Linked DNA regions of Lonchura striata. The protein of the gene in region 1 binds, or shares a complex with, the protein of each later gene. Links are inferred from orthologs where the notes say so. Each region holds a gene or a part of one and is shown in the gene's direction. Other genes may lie near its edges.

Region 1 (7,095 bases):
TAGGCTGTGTCAGTTTGTCATTCGTACTTCCCACTTCTGCTAGATTAGCTTCTAATCTAATATAAATGGGGGATTAATTAAAAACAGTAATAGCAACAACAACACACCAAAAACCCCTCACAATCTGCCTAAAATGTCTTACAATTTCAAAAATATTTGAGGCTAAAAATGAAGGTTCTGGGAAGAATCCCTTTCACTTGCTATCCTTAAAGTGAGTCTTTTCTTGAAATGAGTCATGATTAATTCAGCTAATTTCTTCTTCAACCCTACTTCCTATCCAAATCTATTTCCAACTATCTGTCTGATTAATTCATTCTCACCCTAGTCTTCATCTTGTTCACCTTAACTGGTAGTAATGTGTGTGGGCTGAATTAATAGACTTTCTAATGTAATTTCAGAGATTCATATTTATAATGTTGTAACACAGTGCTCTGCAACATCACTTAGTCCAGCAGTTTTTGTCCAACTCCTTGCAGCATAAACTTGCACAGCAGCACTCATTTAACTTGGAGAGTGGTTGGCAAAATATTAGCTGTTGAATCAAGAAATTCCCTACAAATTTGTGTGGTTCTGCATTAATCTGAATTAATTTTCACAAAACTGTGCTGTTCTATTGGTACAATTCCATTCACAATAACTACTGTTCTATTTAACTTTGTATACAGTTGGCATGATGGCATAAAAATATATACCGGAACTATATTCCACTCAAATCTTAACCTGTTTACACATTTAATAGACATTAATATAAAAAAGTGCATTTTCTTGAGGAAAGACAGGAGTGATAATAAGTGATTTATGATGATTTATATTGCATCAGGAGATTTTTCATGCTTCACTTGCCAAATATTTGCTATTTATTAATTTCTTTTTCCTTTTATAAGATTTCTCAGTTTGACAATGATGTGCTTCTTAATTTCATATCACCTTAAACAGATTTTTGACAAATGCTAATATTAAAAGTTAATTGTAGCTTCTACATCTAAATTAGCATAACTGAAATACTGTGTGTGCTTTCCAGAGAAAACAGATACAATTTTAGGGATTTTTTTCACTGAAATTGTCTTTTACCTTAGCTTTGACAAAATTGCCAAGAAATAGTCTTTACAGGACACAGGTCATGTGAAGGGTATATATAAGATACTTGTATAATACTTAGATACTCATAATTCTTTTCTTTAAGCCATTATGTACACAGTATTTCCAGAAATGACAGTGCTGGAGTTCAATCAATTGCCAAAAGAAAAAAAAAATAGAAGGCTCAGAAAGCACCATTATTTCTTCAGTAAGTAGAAATTTTCCTTGTGCAATCTTTCTGGAAGTCAGGAAATATCAGCTGTTTTGTGATATGATATCTTTATTGCAAGCATAATAAATACTCAGCCATTTTTTTTGTTACTGATACAGAGTCAGGTTATTGGAAACTATGTAAGGGCTTCCATAAAGAACATACAAGAAAATGGACTCTGATAATAAATACATATATGCAAATGTATTTTGTACAGGTACATATTTTGTACATGAGCTCATGTACTCAGTGGACTCTTGGTTTATTGTACATGTATTGGTGTACCTATTGGAAATTCATGATTGTCAGTCCCTTCCTATGTCCTCTCTGTGTCCTGCTGAAATATTAATGAATCACACAACAATTCCCTGATATTTACAGTCATTTGACACCCTGCCAACTTAAAAATATTTTATAAGCAGTCACAAGTGCACTTTGAACTATTAATTTGTTGTTCTTAAAAGAAATACTGTGTTGGCATTTTAACAGTGTTTTAAACCTTGTTTTTAGAAGATGGTGCTGACAACTTTTTTCCCCTAATACTGGTTTACTCCACCAGCAAACTCAGAATTGGCATGTAACTTTGGTTACTGTTTTCACGGGTAGAACATTGCCTGTGGGCAATCAGAGGCATGATCTCAACTGCTGCTCCTCCAAGCCTTTGCTTATCTCTAGAAGAGATCCACTGGAGAAGGTTTTCTCATTTTTCTTGCTCTGCTGCAGGTATTCTTGATCTATGACACATTTAATAATTACCATCTGGACAACATGGCTAGCTTCAGCACTTTCAATGGAAAGATTTTTTTCTAACCAGTCAGCATTTTTTGGAACTAGATTTGGGAAGAATCATGAATGTAAGATGGAATACTGGCAGTTGTGGTGCCCTTTTACTAGCTGCAGCTGAAATATTGAATTGTGGTATGAGGATACTTGGAACAAATTGTGTCAGTAAAAACACTGCCAACAGCTTGTCGACTGAAGTTTGTGGTTCTCCTAATAGTAGCAAACAGAATTCATGTTAATGACTAGGAAATAATACTCTCCATGGAGCTCAGCAACAGGTTACATAAATGATCAGCAGCTACCTACTTCCAGCTACAGTTTTCTCTCTCGACTGGCAATCCAAAAAAATGTTGCTTAGGCATTGGCTACAGCTAGTTGTGGGACAGTCACAGAGATTAGGAGCAAATTCTAAACAACATTTGGGTGCCCAAGTCATGCTCTGAAAAAGGTAAAAAAACGTAGATAGAATTTGTTGTTAGACACTGAAAAACTCTCCAGGTCTTTGTTTACAACATTTACTGAATGTAAAGGAGATATTTTGCTATGTGTCATGCATCCTAAAAAGACTTGCCAATTTTGTCTTCAGATTTACTTCCATTTAAAGAACTTCCCACATAGCTTCCTTTCACTTAAATAAAGAAGAAGGAAAGAAAGTCCCCAAGATGTTTCATTGTTTGAACACAGTTGGTCCAATTTGGGGGCTGTGCTTGCTTTGAGGTAATAATGACCATAACATTCCATGGAAACTTATAGAGTTAATTAACTAGCTAATTTTTTTCTGGAGCGTCTGTGCAGGACAGATGACTATGAAAAAGTGTGTAGGTTTTCTCCTTAGTGATTGAAATAATAAAAATATTTCTTTGTCTTCCAATAATTTTAAAGGAGTTAAAGGAGTCCTGTTCATTTTTTTACCTCTAATAAAACCAGTTGTTATATTAGAAAAACAAACAGGAAGTGTTTTTCCACAGACAGTCACAGAAGGAGCGGACTGCACACTGATTGTTTTGGAGTACACAAGAGTGGAGAGGAGCTGCTGCTGCTGTTGCTGAGGTGTGTGGAAAGGCGACCTCAGCTCTGCCTGTCGGGAACAGGATGCTTTGTTGTCCTTTTAGTGGCAAGGTGGTGATTATCATGTGTCCGTTTCCCTGCAGCGCCATGGACCCATGATAACATGGACCATCCAGGATAGCAGGCAAATGTTATCAGCAGGAAAACAGGCTTTAGCGGGAGAGTAGAACCTCCTAAAAGGTGTCGAGGTGTAAGCATTAGAAACAAGCAAAAACACATAGCGTTTTTAATACACCACATCTGAACAAACAGCTGTAAGCAGACCTAAGTGAAAAGCCTAATGTTGCCTGCTGGTGTCCTTTCCCGGAGCATCGTGGGAAGAGGTGCTCTCTGGTGGACAGAAGGAAAAGCTGGTCTGAGAAACGTGCTGCTGCGCCCTCGGTGTGCTAGATCGACCTCAGAAGGGTACTCGAGGCTGAGAAGCAGACAAGAGTGCGTTTTCTCTGTGACAACCTGTCGGGAGAGTGGGGCTGGGAGGAGGAAGCTGATACAAAAGCATCCAAAGTGCCCGAACTGAGGCCCGCGGATGTCCCGCGCACCCGGCTCCGGTGTGGACGCGGACCCCGGGCTCCCCTAGGACATGCCCTCGAGAGCGTCCCGGTCCCGGCTCCGAGCGCCAGCAGCTCCGGCCGCTGCTGTTCGCTGCCCAGCTGCCCGGGGCCGCACGGACACAGCCCAGAGCCTGCGGCTGGCCCCGCGGCCGAGCGGAGCTGAGCGGAGCTGCCCGCCGACCCCCGGGCGCTCCGTCAGCCGGGGCATCGCCGTCCCCGCACGGCAGCCTCTGCGGGAGCGGCGGAGGCTCCGCCTCCGCCCGATCGGGAACGGCCTGATAAAGGCAGGTGCGGGCGAGCAGCGGGACCCCGGCTCGAAGCATCTGCTTGTGCACGGAGCCCCTGAGCCGTCCTTCGCCACCCCGCGCGGGGCGGGACAGGAGGGGACACAGGGGACCCTGCCGCCGCCGGCCGCGCGCGCCGCTGTCCCGCCGTCCTGAGCCGTCGGGCTTGTCTCTGCGAAAGGACAAGGACCTCGCCCCCAAGGACCTCCGAAGAGGCGGGATCTCTCCGGGAAGGGGAAGCAGGATTTCGTAGTGTGGCTTGAAGATGAGGCAAGTATCTGGAGTGGCGCTCCTCCTGGGGCTGATGGCTCTCCCAGCGGCGCTGGGACAGAGAAGCTCGGAAAGCCATAAGAATAGCAACCAAAGCTTTGCCATCGTCTCTTTCAAATGGGATCACGTCAAGGAGCCCTATATCATTGCACTCTGGATACTCGTGGCTAGCTTGGCCAAAATCGGTAAGTCTGGAGTTATATATTAATACATGTCCTCTCCCTTTCCCTTCCCCCTTGCCCTTCTCCCACCCAGCGTAAATGAAGAAAGCTTATCATAGGTCCGCGGACCCGTTTTCAGGGGGTTTACTGTACTCTGTCCTGATTTCATAATACTGCCCTACACGGTGCTTAGCAGTGTGATTTTCACCAGCCTCGAGGGGTTACCCAGTTCATTTTCACCGCCCACGACTCTGTCTTCTGCATCTGACTCCTTGTAAGCCCTTTCAATTCCCTGAGACCTTGCATTCCTCTTGCTCCCAGGAAAAACTTTTTGCAAAAGTGAAACAGAAATCGGGCCTTACTGCTTACACAATATCTATTGCACTTTATGATATGCTTTTCTTCTGATTATAGTCGTTAGCTATATCAGTTGGTAACATCAAAAATAACCAATGCAAACTGCACATATGAGCTTAACATTCTCTGTTTTGAAGTGCATTGCTGGATCAGTGAAAGAGCATCCTTTATAGAGAAAGACAGTATGTATTATCAGACCATCTGATGTACCTGAAAAAAAAAAAAAGCTTTAGAGCACCCAGAATTTTCTTCAAGAAATTGGAGTAAGTGAAAAGCCAGGACTTAACCTAACTTCAGTGTAGTTTAAATTAATTTATATGAATGGTCCAACTCTTGTGTTCTGAACTTTGTGACTTTTCCAAAAGAGATCTTGTATCAATAATGCAGTTTGCTGAATGAGAAAAGTCGCCGTTTAATTAGAATGTGTTTTACTTGGTTGATGCTATTACTTTCAGACCTTTTGACTTTGGATATCTAAAAACACATCTCCAGTTTGGCTGATACTGTAAATGACATTTTCATTTAAAATAAATATTTTCTATAATCAGTCTCATCTCAGAAGGTCAGCTGAAAATCCAACTGAGGACTTTTCTGAACTTGTACTGTTAATACTAATTTGGTATACCAGAATCACATTCTGTAGATTTTTCATGCCACAGAGAATGAAAGATGTAAAAAGGTATACTTAGGTATATCTTATCTAGCACATAAGCCAAGCATAATAAGACCTGAATGGAAAATGCTGTCTCCAAACACAAAAAAAAAAAAAAAAAAAACCAGCATTTTAAAGAGTAGTGTGTTACAAGTTGGAGTGATATTGTACATAATTTTCCAGCAGTATTTGCATCTTGGCTTTTACTTGATTAACCATAGATATATTACTAAATACCTTTATCTGAACCTGTTTGACTACACTATGCAAATAGTTTGTCTTCAGACACGTGCTGCATCACCTAGATTACATAACAGACAATTGTGTTTTACTTTACTTTTATTGATGAGTTATAGCAATTACGAAGCTGAGGAAACCATATACAGGAAACAACTGACAACTGAGTACATATAAAATTGTGCTGAACAAAGTAATAAACAGGCTGCTTGTTTGAACCTTCTTTTTGAGATACTCTTCTAAGTAAGTATAGTTATTAAGACCTTGTGCTATTTAGGCTTTGCTGTTCGGTACATGTGGCCCAGTTGTACAGTGTAGTGTATTAGTGGTGCACAACCATATCAGTTTGTGTCTAATGCCACTGAACCCAAGAAGAGGACAGTTAGATTGTACTATATTTCAATTGCAATGGCATGGATTGAGATTGGTTGAGATTAATATGAGCCATTTTACTGTGAAGTCCTTGATATAAACTCTTGATAAGGTGCTTACTGTTGTGGTGCTGATACTGTTTTTAAATTCTTTTTAAATTCTTAAAACAGCTGCACAGAGCATGTCACTCATTAGAAGATCATACCTATCATCAGCTCTATCACTTTTCTTCCCCAAAGCTCTCAAGCTTCATTTGTCTCTCTCTTCACCTTTGCATTTTTGATCCTATATTTCTCTGGGCATAGTTTCTGAAGAAGCAATGGATAACTGCTGTATTCCCCTGAGAGCCTACAAATGTCTATGCTTTCCCTACCAGTCACAAATAACACACAGAAAAGCAAGAATGTACACTCACTGTTCAACACCTTTTTAATGAAGAAATCATTAAATGAATCATTTAAAAGAATCATTAAAAGAAATCATTTAATGAAGGTGTTCATGTAAGCGAGAAAGGGAAAAAATAGCTTTTCAGCCTTCTGTTTGCCTTGGTGTGTCAAGGGTTTTGGGAAGTAGGTCAGAAATCTATGAGATTTTGAATTGAAAAAGTCCTGTGCTGGATCAAAGAAAGTTTACATTTTCAAAAAGCAGACCAAAAAGAAGCAAGAAAGAAAACAGAACATCTGTCCTTGGGTTTCTTTACTACCTGAAGCAGATCAGTTGTAGTGGTGTGAAAGTGCTGGTTTTACTGTAGGTTTTTCAGCAGGGAAGGAGCTGTTCTTACACATGCAAGCTCATTTCTCCATGACTACAGGGATTGGGAGTTATTTTACTGATGGATGATAGACAACTGGGTCATTAGAAAATGTTCTAAGAATTGCAGCTTGTACCTGGGGATAAAGGTATATGAGAATACTTTGATTTCTCTTGAATTAGAATAGCATTAGTGGTTTTGTGTTTATTTGGGTTTTTGTTGGTTTTGTTTTTTTTTTTTAAGATTTGTTTCATTTCTGTGGAAGTTCAGGGGTTTTGTAATAAACAACTTTCACTTCATGATGTTATATGACTGGGGGAA
Region 2 (7,746 bases), on another chromosome or scaffold:
AAAGTTAGAGCCCAACAGGTACACAACCCCTGCTGGGGGGGTTCACAACCAAAGCTGCTGGGTGGAGCTCTAAGCAATCTGGTCTTATACAAGGTGTCTCTAGACCTAGATGATCTTTAAGGTCCCCTCCAAGCCAAACCATTCTATGATTCCATTTTCAATCCCATTAGCCAGGTAAATGCAACTACCTGTTCTTTAGTCTATACAGCCCTTGCACTCTTGCCACCATTCCCTGAGAACAGAAGAAGCTGATTTTGGATCTGTGCCTGTATAAGTACACACCTGCATATGTGTCAGAGCAGGAACCATACAACCAAATCAGCACCTGACAGCCAGCACAAATCCAAAGGGCAATAGTTGTTGCAGCATATACCACAGTGTAGATAGCCACAATACACAAGAGCATCACCACACAATTTCAGAAGACTGTAAGCATTCACCCAGAGTAACACCATACCATATCAGAAGGCTACAAGCATCTGCCCTTCTTGTTCTTCAGCCCAACCTTTTATACCCCTCATTGTTCATGGAGTGCACCTGTGTGCCTTCTGTTCCCTTTGGTGGTTGGTCAATGCACCTGGGCTCTCCATGGCTCATTGCTGTCAGTGCTGCTCCCCTGCTTCTCACAGCTGTAGCCCACTGGGGATGAGGCTCAGCCACAGCCCCACTCCCAATGACCACAAACTGTGTGCCTACAAATTGACTTACTGAGCTTTGAGTTATCTGTCATGCCACGTATGTTTCAGGAACAAGTATAAGATTAAAATAGTCACCAAGAGGAATGCTCACCGGCTGAAGCACTTTGATTTCTCCAAAAGATCAGTTGCACTCCTCAGCCACCTTTACAGTTGGTAAGAGCTACAGGATAAACATTTTGGAAAACAGGCCAGTTTCCCTCTGATGTCTGCTGATAACAAGGTCTGTACTTACCTTTCTGTTACCATTGTTCTCTCAGAATACATCTTGTTCTGATACAGACAAACCAAGAGATAACAATCTGTGGGAAAAATGCTGTCTGACAAACACGAAGTACATTTCTTGGCTAATATCCACATTACCTCAGAGGGAATATTTTGAGCTATCTGAGGCCCTGAGATGGCTCTCTAAGGAAACACAGGGAGAACTCCATGAGCCACAATCTGCTTGGTTCTGTGTCTGCTTGTTTGTTCACTTCTTCAGCTTAAAGTGCACCTGAGCAAGCAAGACAACCAAACCTAACACAGAAGTCAAAACATTATTAAAATGTTCATGCTGGTGCAATGTGAAAGAGAAATATTTAATGCAATACCCTCTGCCTCTGTTCAGAAAATGAACTGCTGCATATGAAGCAACTCCTTAATTCAGCGGTTCTTACAGAAGACCCTGAAGCTAGCCAACCATAAGCTTATTTTCCACAAAAAAGCCCTTATCTCAGATAAAATTTCACATTTATTCTGAAAATATAAGGTGAAAGCAGAACCTGAACAGATGTTCACTGCAAAGATCAGCAACAGTCTTAAGGTAAACTGCAGTTCAAGGTACAAAGAATGAAGTACCTGACCAGAGCCCAAGAACAATGCAAATTAAATATCTGTAGGTCTTTACCCTGAATCAATAATATTTCAACTATTAGTTAGGTAGAGTAATTGGAGGGCAATTATACAAGCTCAACAATATGAAAAAAAGTTTCAGTTGCATCAGTTGCATCACTGAAACTTTACTGTAGTCAAATAGAAGTTACTAAAATCATAAAAAATGGTAACATCAGAGGACCATAAGAAGAAATACAATATTTTATCAATTTCTCGAGGTTGGGATTAAAGGCACTTGAGACAGTATTTCATGTTCAGACTCAGGTGTTTATTATTTCTTATCTATGTTACAGTCTCAGTACTGTGAGTTTGGCAGCTTTTTCATTAGCAAGGCACAAAATGGCTAACTCTTGTTACAAGTTCTTTTAAAACTAAACTATCCAATTAAGAAAGGACACCTAGATTATTTTCCCTTTTAACCCAATAACTGATCCCTTGAAGTCCGCAATGTGGACTTTTCTGTTCAGTCACAAAACACCACCCAAACCCATGAAGAAGGAAGAAGAACAACCTGCCTCTGCCCTAAAACCTCCATCTTGCTTCATATTTATTTCTATATTCTAAAATCCCAAACTCTAAGTTTTCCACCCAGTGATATTACAGACTTCTAACCACCTGCACACCTGTAATCCCAGTGCTATTTATAAATTTTAAAAGCCTGTTCCACAACCTCAGGACAAATGTAGTGTTCTCCTGTGGGTCTGTGTCTTTAAGCACAGAAAGTTTTAAATTCTCAGCATCCAGGATTCCAACAATATTTGAATAAACTATTAAAATGTGGTCTTGTGAGAAGCATTTAGGAGCATGGCTCTGCAGGAGTTTGAAGTATATTTTTACTAGCTTTCTGAAGACACACTTATAAAGGTTTTGAGAGCATCTCTATAACTCTGACTTCTCCGTGCAATTGTTCTGGAACTGTTCCACCACAGGTGAAATGCTCATAGGAAATTTTCCCTGAAACCACAAGCTGACAAGAAAACAAACCAAGGAAATTCTTCTACCTAGGAACACTACCAGGAAACAAGAAACAAAAACCAAAACCAACCAATCAACCAAAACTAAAAAAAGAGAGAATCGTAAACAATACCTTGGAGGAGACTTTTTCCTTGGAAGAAGCCTTATACCCACCACCTTGTTCACCTTTTCAGAGCTGAGGAAAACAAACTTAGCACAACTGAGTTTGAAAATGAGATTTATAGTCAATGTCAGTTGTGGTTCCCCTAACATGTACCTCCCGTCCCTTCTCCTCCTGTGAAAGAAAGGAAGTATTTCAATAGACTCAAAAAGCATTGCTGTTCCCTTCCCCGAATCTGGTTAATTCAATAACAGAAACAATTTACATTCTAGTGCTGAAAATCAATGTTTGGACACTTGTTAAAGACTAGTTAAGTCTAATGACTTAAGCATCCCATCAGAAACAAAGCCAGCATTGAACTACAACTAATAAATTTACAGACTATTGGATATAGACTAAAGCAAGTACATAAAAAAAGGCAGAATGAAGTAAGTTAATCACTTGGTAAGTCCAGTAGATGCCTTCTAGCTAGTTGGCCCTCGGCACTTTGCTCCTATCCCCAAAACAAAGCAGATGCCAATAGAAATGCACAGGACCTTTATACATTAGAAATGCTTTTCTTAAATACTTCCATATTTATGTCATTAGTGAAAAAGGCTCAGATAAACAGATCATTTAATAGAGATGTTTTTGCCTGTGTGAATAAAAGTAAGACCAAATTAACATGAACTTTAAACATTTTAACTTCCCAGCACAGTCCATAAGGGAAAGTCATGCACATGTACAGCAACATACAATGAACTTGCCTTAAAGATGTAAACAGGGGGCACTCTTATCTCAACTGAATACCTTTGGAGGAGTTACTTTCATTAGCAGTCTCATTGGACATTAACCATTGTTATTTAACCAGTAAGCTTTAATGCAATACAGTCCCAAGACCTTCCCAAAATGAGCTGATGTTATTATTATTTCATTTATAGATAACTGGGGAACAAAAGCTGTGTGATCTAGACACCATTCTAATTCCTGCTGATTTTAGGAGGAAAAAATAAAACTGAATAATTCAGATGTGACCCAAAAGGGATTTAAAATGCTGAACTATTGGTGGGCATGACCCCCCTGCCCCAAAATGCAATAAGCGAAGCCTCACCATTGACTATTCCATGACCAAAAATTATCCTTAATCCTGGAGTGCTTCTGCCAGTTTCCAAGTTCTTCACTGACATGAAGGAGGGGAAAAAATAGAGACATACATCAGGTTCCACTCTCTGGGGTAAAAGCTTATCATTACCACTGACCTGCTGGAAAGTAGCTCTGCAGAGAAAGACCTGGGGGTCCTGTTGGACAACAAGCTATGAGCCAGCAATGCCCTTGTGGCCAAGAAGGCCAACGGTGTCCTGTGCACTAGGAAGAGCACTGCCAGCAGATCGAGGGGATTGATTCTGCTCCTCTACTCAGCCCTGGTGTGACTGCTAATATTAGAAGAGGTGTGTTCAGTTCTTGGCTCCTCAGTACAAGAGAGAAGTGGAGCTCCCGCAGCAACCAGTGGAGTTCAATGAGGATGAATGGTCAGCTGGAGCTTCTCTCTTATGAGCAAAGGCTGAGGGAGCTGGGCCTGTTTGGCCTTGGGAAGAGATGATTGAGTGTGGACTTCTTCAATGTCTATCAGTATCTGAAGGGAAGGTGTCAGAGGATGGAGCCAAGCTCTCCTCAGCGGTGCTAAGCAACAGGACAAGAGGCAATGGGCAGAAATGGATGCACAGAAGTTCCACCTAAACATGAGGAAAAAATATTGTGTGGGTGACCATGCACTGGAACAGGCTGCCCATAGAGGTTGTAAAGTCTCCCTCACTGGAGATACTCAAGAATCATCTAGATGGGATCCTGTGCCAAGTGCTGCTTGAGCAGGGAGCTTGGACCAGCTGACCCACTGCGGTCCCTTCCAACCTCACCCACTGTGTGATTCTGCGATTTGCAAAACAAAGCAAGCCCGCAGAACCGGGCGCCGCTATCCGCTTGGGAAGGAAGCACCGTGGCAGGCACTTCCATCGCCCGCTCTCCCGCCGCCTACAGGAATATCGCAGTTTTCCACACGCGTGCGCGGGGCCCGTGGGCGGCCGCCGGGCGGGGTCGGGCGGGGCCGGGCGGAGGCGGCGGGCGGGGCCGCGGCAGTCGGTGCGCGCTCGCCTTCCGCCTCAGAGCAGGGGCGGCCGCGCTCGGGCCTGTGCCGGGCGGCTGTGGCGCCGCCGTCGCTGCTGTTCGGCTGCGTAGCTCTTCCCCCGGCCCCTCCCTTCCCTTCCCCTCGGGCCCAGCCGCGGCGATGGGTTCCCGGGCGTCCACTCTGCTGCGGGACGAGGAGATCGAGGAGATCAAGAAGGAGACGGGCTGTGAGTGCGGGGCCTGAGTGCGGCGGGGCGGGGCGGGAGGTAGCGCGGGGCCGGCGGCCGGAGCGGGGCCGGCGGCCGGAGCGGGGCCGGGCAGGCCGTGCCCCGCTCCGGCCGCGGCGGTCGCGCCGGGGCAGAGCCCGCTCCCCGCCACCCGCAGCCCCGGGGCCGGGCACGGCTGGCAGGCCCGCGGGAGCCTGGGAAGCGCCTCCCGGTTCCCCCCCACCGCTGCTGCCGGTAGCAGCTGCGGGATCCCAGTGGGACTGAAGGGAAGCAGCGCTCTTGGTGTGTGCAGTAGTGTATTCGGTCAGAGATAACTCCTTGGGTTTTGAAGAGTTGTCTGTCTCGATGCCTGATGCCGGAGTTTCTCTCAGGTTTTAACCCAAGGAAACTGTCGTTGGATAGTAATTTTTTTCCCCAAAGTGTTATTTGTTTCATGGGCTAGTGCTAAAGTTGCCGTAAGGGTACTCGGAATGAATGCTGTGTGGCATTTAAACCGTAAAGGAAGTAATGTAACTCACGAGAGGTAAGTGTTAAAAACTAAAAAGAAGTGAAAATTCCTGTACTAGTCAGCAACTGGGAGAGCATTATTTAAGCTGGACTCTAATATTTAGATACTTTACCCTACGGTATGATGAAGTTGTTCTGCATAAAGTACCTTAGAGAAGGTGAAATTCCAGTGTTGTTAATTTGCCTGATAGAATGATTGCCTGAGAGTTCCAGCAAATGATAATAAATGGAGGATGCCTTCCTAACTATCTGGAGAGCAGAGGTCATCACATCACAGGTATCACTTTGCTGTTTGTTTCCCCAGGAAACTTCTCACGTTAACATGCTGTGCCCAGCTGACAATTTTTCTTCTGAATATACCTTCTGATCTATTCTTTCTACTTGAAAATGCTTTCTTCAGTTTTCTTTCCAATATACATGGTATCATATATTCTTCTTAAGTGTTAGTTTATTTGTGTCCGGAAAATGAGTGGCTACAGAAAAAGAGTAGAAGATTAAAACGTCACTGGAACTACTGTAGTGGCAGGCTGAGTGAGTTAATATATTTTCCATGATCCTTTTTCCATCTGTCATGAAATGTGGTGATAAACAAGTAGGAATGTCTGTTTATTCAGCAATAACTTTCTATTGTTTTTTCTTTTTAATAACAAAGATCATGGAGTAAAGGTAGCATCCTCTCATTTATAAAGATGCTTCAAAATCCAAACCCCAAATCTGGAATATTTTTCCAGAAGGCTTTACATTTTTCCTCATGCTACTACTTAATTTATTGTCTGTGGTGTTTTATTCCTTAATGTTTACTTACGTGATAGTTAAATAAATACCATTAAGATGGCTATATAGGCACTGTATGCAATAAATCCACTTGACTCTAGTTAGCCTCTAAATGCTTTTCTTGTATCATCAGAGGATGAGCAAAGTTATGACTGGTGGGTTTCAGCTTTGTGACCTGATGTGTGTTCGTTTTCCCGTGTTTTAATCTAGTAAATTTTATAATTAATACCACTTTGTTAACCAACCATTGCTCTCTGACTCATGCTTGCTTGTAAATAATCACAGTGTGTCTCATTGACTTTATCAATAATTTTCTTCTTCTCCCCAGTCTGTAACTGCAGTTCAGGAATGTCATTTTTTTCTGCTTTTTGTGCTTCTCTAGGTAGATGGAAAATTCCACCAAGTTATTATCACAGTTATACACTTCATATAGGTGAAAATATTTATACAAGGTGATGAAAAAACCCAAATAAACTCTGGTTATCTAGATCAAAGTTCACAGGCAGATTGCTAAGGTAGTGTTACTGAATAGACTTCTGTGGTCTGTTGGAAACTTGACGCTGATGGTACTTTAGCTACTGAAGAGTTTGAGAAAGGGACTTCGTAGACATAAAAAAAATCTGTCAGCATTAAAAGTCCATCTTGAACTGATGGTCTGATAAGTGTTCCCAAGGATTCCTTTTTGGCCTCTTTACTGTGAAATGTGTTTTCTACAGTTCATCTGGGGTAGGTGTGAAGCACTTAGAACACTTAAACAATTCGATTGAGTTCAACTGTGGAATTATGTAACTTCTGCTCAATTTCATGTAGCACAAAACTGAATATCTAATGATACTGGCATGAGTGAGAAACTGTATGTTAATGTTCTTCAGCAGAACAGACATAAAGAGCATGTCTTTTAGGGCACTAGAAGCATAGTCTTTAAAAAGCTATGCAATGACACAATCTGTTGAATGAAATATGCTTGGATTAAAATTCTATTTTTTTTTTTGTGGTAGTGAAAAGCACTTTGTAGCATAAGTTCAGTCACGTGCAAAGGTAATGCATGAGGTTCTCAGCAGCAGGTGCGAAGCCTGAAGTTGACAGTCCTAAATCTCACATGATGTTATCTAGAAATCATTTGCTTTGCATATAAACATTTTGAAATTTGAGCATGAAAACACCTTGAAGTCATCCTAATTGCTTTGATATTTCAGTAACAACTATAAAAAATAAAAAAAAAGATGAGAGGCCCAAGATGTTGTTTGTCTGCATTCTGTTGCAAGCTTTTGGAAAGCTGTTGGAATGTAACAGTATTCAAATTATTTGGTTCACACCCTTTGTTTCCATGCTTTGAAGCGCTCTACCTAAGGATTAATAATAAATTAATGCTTATACATTAATTTAGGAGAAAAAAATGTTTGCTTAGTAGCACATAATTGATTTTTCTAATGGATATTTATATATTTTTCTAAGCATATAAATATTTTTATATGAGTTTATGCTACTGTTG

What was found. Proteins that work in one complex are often made in the same cells at the same time.
Region 2: the proteins of SLC9A3 (region 1) and CHP1 are in contact, whole or in part, in a cryo-EM structure (PDB 7X2U), measured with the Homo sapiens proteins. The link is inferred for Lonchura striata from reciprocal best matches to the Homo sapiens genes SLC9A3 and CHP1. Residues at the interface, in NP_004165.2 of Homo sapiens: Tyr396, Arg397, Met398, Gln400, Glu402, Arg474, Leu475, Asn476, Glu477, Leu479, His480, Gly481, Arg482, Ala483, Phe484, Asp485, His486, Ile487, Leu488, Ser489, Ala490, Ile491, Glu492, Asp493, Ile494, Ser495, Gly496, Gln497, Asn501, Arg504; in NP_009167.1 of Homo sapiens: Arg30, Leu31, Arg34, Leu38, Lys40, Glu49, Phe51, Gln52, Arg53, Ile54, Glu56, Leu57, Ala58, Ile59, Asn60, Pro61, Leu62, Asp64, Ile66, Phe70, Phe83, Leu87, Phe90, Leu115, Phe117, Ala118, Leu121, Tyr122, Leu135, Leu139.

What each region holds. Positions count from the first base shown.
Region 1 is NC_134603.1:84,099,192-84,106,286, reverse strand, and holds the start of SLC9A3 (sodium/hydrogen exchanger 3), read left to right. Parts: upstream 1-4,093; 5' UTR 4,094-4,239; coding exon 4,240-4,429; intron 4,430-7,095. UniProt on the Homo sapiens protein: Plasma membrane Na(+)/H(+) antiporter. Exchanges intracellular H(+) ions for extracellular Na(+) in 1:1 stoichiometry, playing a key role in salt and fluid absorption and pH homeostasis.
Region 2 is NC_134608.1:37,536,233-37,543,978, reverse strand, and holds the start of CHP1 (calcineurin B homologous protein 1), read left to right. Parts: upstream 1-4,744; 5' UTR 4,745-4,906; coding exon 4,907-4,973; intron 4,974-7,746. UniProt on the Homo sapiens protein: Calcium-binding protein involved in different processes such as regulation of vesicular trafficking, plasma membrane Na(+)/H(+) exchanger and gene transcription. Involved in the constitutive exocytic membrane traffic.